Linked DNA regions of Sus scrofa. The protein of the gene in region 2 interacts with the protein of the main gene of each other region in a pairwise test. Links are inferred from orthologs where the notes say so. Each region holds a gene or a part of one and is shown on either strand. Other genes may lie near its edges.

Region 1 (4,562 bases), on a different chromosome or scaffold from region 2:
ATTTCATCTAATCCTTACAACCATCTTGGAGTAGATATGATGAGGATGAGGAGAGAAGTAACCTGCCCAGAATTTAGAGGAAAAAAGTTGCATCCTGGCAATCTGCACAGCCATTGTTAGGAGGAAGCAGAGATTAGGGCACTGTCATATCACAAGCCACATCTGACCCCCTTTCTCTGACTCCTCAAGTAGGGGCCAGGGTGAAGCCATAAATGCCATTGTATATTTGCCCACTGTCCCTCTACTCTGCTCCTAAAACAGGCCGCAGTGAAGGAGTAAGATGCCCAAAGCAGCTAATTCTCAATCAGAACACTTTTTTTTCTTTTTTTCTTTTTAGGGCCACACTTGCTGCATATGGAAGTTTCCAGGCTGGGAGTCGATTGGGAGCTGGAGCTGCAGGTCTTCCCATAGCCAGAGCAATGACAGATCCTAGCTGAATCTGCAACATACACCATAGTTCACAGCATCTCGGGATCCCTAACACACTGAGCAAGGCCAAGGATCAAACCCGCTTCCTCATGGATACTAGTCACGTTCATTACTGCTGAGCCACAATGGGAACTCCCTGAATCAGAACAATTCTGATCCCAGGCCACTCATCTCTTCCCAGAACTGTTGTCTTTTGCAACATGTTTTTTGTTTTGTTTTTGGCTGCACCCGCAGCATATGGAAGTTCCCAGGCCAGGAATCGAACCTGAGTGGCCACAGAGACAATACTCAATCCTTAACCCTCTGCCCCACAGTGGGAACTCCTCCACACGTTTTTAAAAAACTTTATTATGAATGTAATACACACTCATTTCTGGGAAATACAGACCAGCAAAATAGAAGAAAACAAAATCCCCTCACCTCAGAAAAAAATACTAGCATTTTGATATGAGATCAAAGGGACCCTGTCCTGTATGTTTACTAACTAGGCCTTTCTAGTTATACAAGTTAATCTAACCGGAGTGATTTACCTATTTATTTGTTCATTCCTGGAGGTCGGTTCTGTAAATTTCGTTGGGCGAGGGACATAGGTCTGGGAGACAGAATGGAGTTGTTTGTAATTGTTTTCCAATTTGAAGTACTTCACCTCCCAGCTCTGGGGCCAAAAGTATTTCGAGTCTTTTTTCATACTGTATCTATATTCAAGAACTGGCCTTGTCAATTGGGAGTGGTTTTTCCTCAGGATTTTTTGCGCTGGCAGCTTTCTGTGCCTTTGAACAGTAAGTGTTTGAACTTAGTTTATGGCTGCAATTGGCTTTGGCTGTGAGACTTTAATTCGTAATGACGATAGGCGGCCGCAGCGGGTGGTCTGCCCTCTCCTGCTCCCTGTCCCCCTAGGCTCAGAACCGCGTCAGAGACAGCACAACTCGAGCTAGGAGGTCGGAGTCGGAGCTAGGCGGGCTGCGGGCACCTCTAGTAACCCGGCAACGGGGGCCTTAGCAACGGGGAGGGGGCGGGACCAACGGAGGAAGTCGGAAGCAGGCAGCTAAATATCGCGACACTTACTTTTGCGCGCGAACTCTAAGCTCTAGGGTCGCGGGGCCAGGTTCGCGGTTGCTCGCGGGGCAGGCCCCTGAGGGACGAGACGGCGTCACTGGACCTGGACACCTTCATCACCCCATCATGCAGACCTCAGCGCACAAGCAGCAGCAGCAGCCCGAGGCAACCAAGATCAGGAACCTGCCCTGGTAGGTCGAGGACCGTTTGCCGCAGGCAAGGGGGTGGGCCGCGCGGGGAGGCGGAGGCCGGAGTGGTCAAGGGGCTGGTCCTCAGCCCGACCTCGCCCCGCCGCCCACAGACTTGCGCGCCTTAACACCCTCAACTTCCCAGTCACGCTCCATTCTATTTAGAACTTTTCCCAGCTGCCCTCACCCCGCACCCCCATGTCTCATACTGGCCCTCTTTCCTGTTGCCAGAAGACTGAGTGACAACACAGGGCTTCGATCCCGTGTCTCCCAGACTTTGCACTGGCCTCCGTGGCAAAATGTTCTCTCTTGCCAAAATATTCTCTCCATGCGATTACTGGTCAAATTCTAAACTAGAAGATTAATAGTACCAGTGCTGGAGTTCCCATAGTGGCACAGCAGAAACAAATCTAACTAGTATCCATAAGGACGCAGGTTTTCATCCATGGCCTCGCTCAGTGGGTTAAGGAACCCGCGTTGTGGTGAGCTGTGGTGTAGGTCGCAGATGCTGCTCGGATCCTGCGTTGATGTGGCTGTCCCCTGCGCTGGCAGCTGCAGCTCTCATTGACCCCTAGCCTGGGAATTAACATATTCCCATGGTGCGGCCCTAAAAAAGACCAAAAAAAAAAAAAAAAAAAAAAAGTCCCCTAGTTAAGTTTTCTTTAGATGATTTTGTCAGATTAGCGGGCACCCTATTACAGTTTGACCTTTACAAAGACCCTACGAAGTAGGTACTGTTAATCCCCGTTTTACCAAAAGGTTAAATGACTTGCCTAAGGTCCAGAGTTGGGAAATAGGTTTGGATTTGAACCAGGTGGTCCAGATTCAGAACTTGCACTTTTAACCATCCTACTTCTACAACTCATGGTTTAAAGACTGATGGGATTTGGCTTGACTTCAGAAAACTCAAATTTCTTTTGTTTCCAATAACAAGTTATGTTTGGTTTTAGTCATAATAAAATACATAACATAAAATTTACACTTGTAACAATTTTAAACTGTACAATTAGGTGGCATTAAGTACATTCAGAATGTTGTGTAACCATCCTACTGTCATCACCCCCAAGTGACTCCATACCCACTGGCAGTGGCTCCCCATTCCCCACTCCTTCATCTCCTGGCAACCACTAATCTTCTGTCTGTGAATTTGCTTGTTCTGAATATTTCATATAAATGGAATCAAACAATAAATGGCCTTTCGTGACTGGCTTTTTTCTTATATCAGCAGCTCATTTCCTTTTATTGCCAAATAATATTCCATTGTATGGATATACCACCATTTTTTTAAATCCATTCATCTGTTGATTTATATTTGGATATGAGTTCAATTTTGGATTAACTTTAGATACCCATCCATGTTGAGGTTTTAGGCAGACATCTGGAAAGGTGAAATTAGAGCAGTTTTTCAACACTACTGATATTTTGGGCCAGATGTTTGGAGTTGAGGGAGGGCATGGGAGTTATCTTGTGCATTGTATGATGTTTAACAACATCCCTGGTGCCTATCCACTAGACGCCAGTAGCATCCTTCACCCAATTGTGACAGTGGAAAATGTCTCCAGGTATTATCAGGAGTTTGCTGGAGGACAAAATTGCCCCTGGTGAGAACCACTGGGTTAAAGGATTTTGTGTCTCTTCCTCTTTTAGTTAGGATATGAAAGGATTCTTTTGCATGTAACAAGATATTCTTGTATTTATATATGTTGTAATCTATGCTAAATTGTATTTCAGGGTTGAAAAATACCGGCCACAGACACTGGATGATCTCATTTCTCATCAGGACATTCTGAGTACTAGTAAGTATCTATGTGTCAGTTGCTGGTATCCTAGCTGCAGGACCTAGGAATGTTGTCTCTGCTGAGTAATAACTTTGAAGAATCTGACTGAGCTTTATAGGATGTGGCTTTAACAACTGAGTCAGATTTTTCCTTTTTTTTTTTTTTTTTTTTTTTTCTTTTTTTTTCTTTTTTCTTTTTTGGTCTTTTCTAGGGCTGCACCTGCAGCACATGGAGGCTCCCAGGCTAGGGGTCTAATCGGAGCTGTAGCCGCCGGCCTACACCACAGCCACAGCAACGTGGGATCTGAGCCGAGTCTACGACCTACACCACAGCTCACGGCAACACCAGATCCTTAACTACTGAGCGAAGCCAGGGATTGAACCCGAAACCTCATGGTTCCTAGTTGGACTCATTAACCACTGAGCTACGACGGGAACTCCCTGAGTCAGATTTTTCATTCCTAAACCTGCCCCAGCTTTGAACATAGGACTGAAGTGCACTCAGCCCAACTCAAGGGCCCACGGTGAATGAGGCACCTCTCAGAGACTGACAGTGTCTCTCTTTTTCCCCAATCTTCAGTTCAGAAGTTTATCAGTGAGGACCGCCTTCCGCACCTCCTTCTCTATGGTCCTCCAGGCACGGGAAAGACATCCACCATCCTGGCCTGTGCTAAACAGCTGTACAAAGATAAGGAATTCGGCTCCATGGTCTTGGAGGTAAATGGGAGGATTACTCTTATTCTCTAAGGACTCCAGTCTCTTTTAATTCTGCTAGTTTTTTGTTTGTTTGTTTTTTTCAGGGCAGCACCTGCAGTACATGGAAGTTTCCAGGCTAGGGATCCATTCGGAGCTACAGCTGCTGCCAGCCTACACCACAGCCACAGCAATGCAGGATCCAAACCACGTCTGCGACCTATACCACAGCTCACAGCAACTCGAGATTCTTAACTCGCTGAGTGAGGCCAGGAATCGAACCTGCAACTTCATTGTTCCTAATTGGATTCGTTTCTGCTTCACCACAACAGGAACTCTTCTTCTAGTTTTGTTTTATGTTACGAGTTAGTTGCTCTGCTGGTGGTTGGGAAAGAAGCAGACATAAGATATTTCAGTTC
Region 2 (4,512 bases):
TGCCTTTCCTGTACACACCCTCTGGTCTGGTCACAGCAAGTCAGGTAAACTCCCAGGGCTGGGCCTTTGCACATGTGAGCCCCTCTGTCTGGAATCCCCTCTCTCTTCTCCACACTTCTATATGTGGTTAATTTTTATGTGTTCTTCTGGAGTCACTTTTGGGGAAATTGCCCCATTCCAAATCAGCCAAACCAGGGGACTCCAGGCAGCCTTTGTGTTGGTTTGTCTTTCCTACTAAACTATAGGTTACCTACAAGGTGGTGTCTTTGTCCCCTGTGTTTTCAGACTCTATCCCATGGTCTTGTACATTGTGGTTTCCCAGATTACATACAGAGTGTGAGGCAATAGGACATGCATGTGGGTGTTGGAGCACATGGCAATCAGGGCAGGGAGAAGGTCATCAAAGTGAGACTGGCTAGGGACAAGAGTCTGACCATTCCGGTCAGGATAGACCATTAGGACCAGATTCAGTGAGGACCCCTCATAAGAATGACATGATGAAAACTTTATTCTAGGATCCTGATCTTGGGTTTCAGGCTAAATAATCTCAGGTCTCAGAGTGGGGTGAGGGGCAACATGAGGCCAGGTACTTGCCAAACCCCTCTGGCCCACCACTTACCTTGTAGCCTTGGCACGCGTCTTCCACCAGAGTTGTGGCGTGCCCTCTGTGCTGTGGTCCCCGATCACAGCGCCAGCAGATGAGCTTGCCTTCATTCTCACAGAACAGATGGAGCTTCTCTCCATGTTCCTCACATGACATTTCCTGGTCCATCTCCTTGATGGCTTCAATGAGGCCTCCCAGCTGCACGTTGGGTCGGAGGCTTGACATTTTAAATGGCACCCGACACTGGGGACAGGAGAATGTCTCCAGCCATGGCTGCATTCGGCAGAGATTCTCAAAGAAGTTCACAATGCACGAGTGGCAGTAGCTGTGTCCACAGCTGATGCTCACCGGCTTAGACATGAGGTGCAGGCAGATGGAGCAAGTGGCTTCCTCCCTCATCTTCCTGGTGGTTGTGGTTGAGGCCATGGCTTTTCCTGAAAAGCTCCAATATTGGATTTAGAGGCAGAGAAGAAGCAGCCAGAATTTTCCCACCATGTTCAGAAATTACCTCACCTGAGCCTCTGTGATGCACTGGCTACCACTGGCCTCCACAGGTCATGAGGTCTTCTTTCTAGAGAAAAGGAATAGATTGGAATTTAGAAAATGTGTACAATGTAGCTTTGTTGTGGAGTATGGTAGCCATTATTACCTGTGGCTATTTAAATTAATTACAATTAAATAGAATTAAAAATTCCTTTCTCACACCCACTAGCCACATTTCAGTTATTTAATAGCTGCAGGTGATGGATAGCTAAGATAGCCCAGATATGGAACATTCCATCATTGTGAAAAGTTTTCTTGGACTAAGTGCTGAGAGAGAGAGACAAGGTAGGCCTCCTCAGCAAAGTTGCAGCAAGAGAGAGAACTCAGTGAGGGACTGTCAGACTCTTTCCCACTCTAATAAAGGTTGAGAATAACTAGTACCAGAATTATTTCTTTGTAACTGGTAATGACACTTAGGTAACTGGGTGGTCTATGAAGATTCCATTGAAACAATCCAATTTGACTCTAATTAAACTCCCACTCTTACCCACAAAGAACCATAGACACCAGCTTAATAAAATCCCCAGTGGAGACACAATCAGGATGATAGTGAAAGTAAAAAAGACATCCAGAAGAACCAGGGAACTCTATTAGCCCTCCCTGACCTGACAGAAAGAGAATTAGAAAAAGCTGGGGGAGTTCCGTTTGTGGCTCAGCAGGTTAAGAACACAACTAGTATCCATGAGGGTATGGGTCCGATCCCTGGCCTCACTCAGTGGGTTAAGGATTTGGCGTTGCCATGAGCTGTGGTATAGTTTGCAGACGCAGCTCAGATTCTGCATTGCTGTGGCTGTGGCCTAGGCAGGCAGCTGCAGCTCCAATTCAATCCCTAGCCTGGGAGCTTCCATATGCCGGGGATGCGTCCCTAAAAAGAAAAAAAAGGGGGAAGAGAAGGGGTTGGTTATGGGTAGCAGAGTTCCTGGAGAGCTAGGGAGGTTAACTGTTGCTTCTCCAGAGCAGGACCTGACTCTCAGGAGAACTGCAGGGTGACTGGAGCACGGGAGTTTGCAGAAGCCAGGATGTGGGGACATAGGAAGCAGATGGGGAAGGTAGGGCCTCTGTGGGACCCTGGGTGCTGGACCCCTGGTGTCCTTCAATGAGGACCCGACAACCCAGAGACTTTGGAGGAGGGAACAGGAGTGAAGAAGTCAGCCCTTTACCCACTGCTGCAGCTGCTTCGGGACCCCAGCCCTGCTCCCTGCTTGCCTACTCCTGGCAGTTGGTCAGGGAGGGCAGTGGAGGCTGGAGGAAGTTTAGAGAGTGACCTTTCTTTTGAAGTGACAGTACCAGAATTAAGAGCAGGGATTCAGCCAAAGTTACTGGAGAGGCCATTTCCCTCTAATAAGTAGAACCGGGCTCATGGAGCCACAGAGAATTTCTTCCAGAGACATCTGTTCTTTGGCAGGTTATCTCGCCCAGAAGGTCCACTAGGCTCCTCTCTGCCAGGGATACTGTGCTCCTGGGGAGAAGGACCTACCTCCCCTCCTCTGAGGCCCAAGGGTGCCTGTCTTGGGCCTTCACTCACCTCACACCCTGGATCTTCTGAGACTGGATGTGGAGGGTGGGAAAGGAGAAAGCAGACAGGGTGTGAGAGCTCTGAAGCCAAGGCCTGGCCATTTTCAGAGTTCCAGCAGGCTCTGTTCTCAGAAAACAACCCCTACCCACCCCGCGGCCGCCCACCACCACACACTCACATGCACATGTCTCCTAGCCCTCCGCCAAGAAAACCTGGGCCTGGACCTTTTCCACTCCCGTCACCACAGATAGTCACACACTCTCTGCTAGATCCCTCCGTAGCAGCCAGGAAGTTCACGCAGGCTACAGAAACTCAGAAGTGAAACTACTGTGGGAGGCGGAGCTCTGCCCAGCTGAGGAGGAAACCAGTGAAAATGTGCCCATCTCTTTTGCACTCTGCTTATGCTGAAAGGGAGGGGAGATGCTAAAGAAATTTTTTTTTTTTTTTTTTTTTTTTTTACAGCAGTAAAAGGGATGGATTGGTAATTCAGGAAGTTCTTTTGTGACTCTAGCACAGAGGATCTAAACCCAGGAAGTCTGCAGAGTTCACAGACTCTGACTTGAGATCTTTCTGCTTTTGCCACCAAACCCCTTGGGATTCATAACCTCCCTGGCTGATGTTACGTTTTGCTATTTTTAGGCTGCTTGTTGTTTTATAACTGCTCTGAAGGATGTGGTGAAAAAAAAGGGGTGGTACCATAATGGGGCTCATTGATGGCAGAAAATTTCTCCAGGCAGTCTCCCATTCTTTGCCCTGATACCCTGTCTCATCTGCCTCCTCAGTGTCCCTGTGAAAGATTCTCATCCTTATCAACAGTCAGAGTTGGGCACCAAGGACAGCAAACGGAACCACTAATGGCCCAGCAGTTAGTGGCCTCAGCTGAGAGCCATGTGAGCTGGGAGCATTGCTCAGTGCTCTCTGGGGGTCTAGGGTTGAGTACTTAGTGCCTCAGCTCCAGCCTCTCCAGTTCAAAATAGAAGCAAAAATACTGGGCCCACCCAATTTAGAGTTATTATTTAATGTGAAAAAACTAACTCAAAATAAGACCTTGCCACATGCATAACCTTAGGTGTAAGAGGTATTTGTGATAAGTGCACAGTGTTTGCTTAGGAAATAAATACATGCAGTGGCCCAGGGGAGCCAGTAAGGATGGCTAAGGACACAGGCAGGAGAAGTTAAGTTTGGATTCTGAGAGCTGCCTGGGATGAACTCTGGGTCCTGGGCCCCTGGCTGGGTGGGTCAGTTGCTGACCCTGGAAGTTCATGGTCTGTGCTAAGGGCATTGGACCTGCAGCTGGAGACTGGGGGGAACTTGATGCAGCCACAGTCCTGCTGGTTCAGCAGCTCAGGCTGGAGGCAAAATTGTGAAACAGCTTCCTCTCTTCCCACCCAAACAGGAGTCTCTCTTCAGCACTGCATCCTCCTGGCTGTTCACAGAGCCTTTGGCCGTTTTGCCACCAGGTGACTCACAGTGCCCTGGCATGTCCTGTGGTAGCTGGCCCCACACATGGTACAGGACACATCTACTCCCAAGGCAGCCAGCATGCAGACGGAAGAGAAAGAATGAGACCCCGAATCCTGACCCAATGCAGACTCTGTGCAGATTCGCACGACTTTCATTGTTGTGGATGCGACTCTGGACCCAGCTCATCCCAAATGTGTCCTGTCAAAGGATCAAGAAAAGGAAGCTAGTGAATGCCACCGAGTAAACAAACTACTGCTACCAACAGGCAATGACAACAAGACCAAAGCATCAACCTCATGCCAGCATCTGTCCTGTGACAGCTGCCCCATCTTGTACCTGTTTCCGTTGCATGAAGGAGGGACTGGTTCACACAGAGAGCTGTGGG

Evidence for each region.
Region 1: the proteins of TRIM38 (region 2) and RFC5 interact in binary tests that used the Homo sapiens proteins (3 or more experiments, as listed by UniProt). The link is inferred for Sus scrofa from reciprocal best matches to the Homo sapiens genes TRIM38 and RFC5.

The regions. Positions count from the first base shown.
Region 1 is NC_010456.5:34,639,512-34,644,073, reverse strand, and holds the start of RFC5 (replication factor C subunit 5), read left to right. Parts: upstream 1-1,475; 5' UTR 1,476-1,611; coding exon 1,612-1,676; intron 1,677-3,404; coding exon 3,405-3,469; intron 3,470-4,030; coding exon 4,031-4,167; intron 4,168-4,562. UniProt on the Homo sapiens protein: Subunit of the replication factor C (RFC) complex which acts during elongation of primed DNA templates by DNA polymerases delta and epsilon, and is necessary for ATP-dependent loading of proliferating cell nuclear antigen (PCNA) onto primed DNA.
Region 2 is NC_010449.5:20,681,085-20,685,596, reverse strand, and holds the start of TRIM38 (E3 ubiquitin-protein ligase TRIM38), read right to left. Parts: upstream 3,062-4,512; 5' UTR 2,842-3,061; intron 1,176-2,841; 5' UTR 1,031-1,175; coding exon 620-1,030; intron 1-619. UniProt on the Homo sapiens protein: E3 ubiquitin-protein and E3 SUMO-protein ligase that acts as a regulator of innate immunity. Acts as a negative regulator of type I interferon IFN-beta production by catalyzing 'Lys-48'-linked polyubiquitination of AZI2/NAP1, leading to its degradation.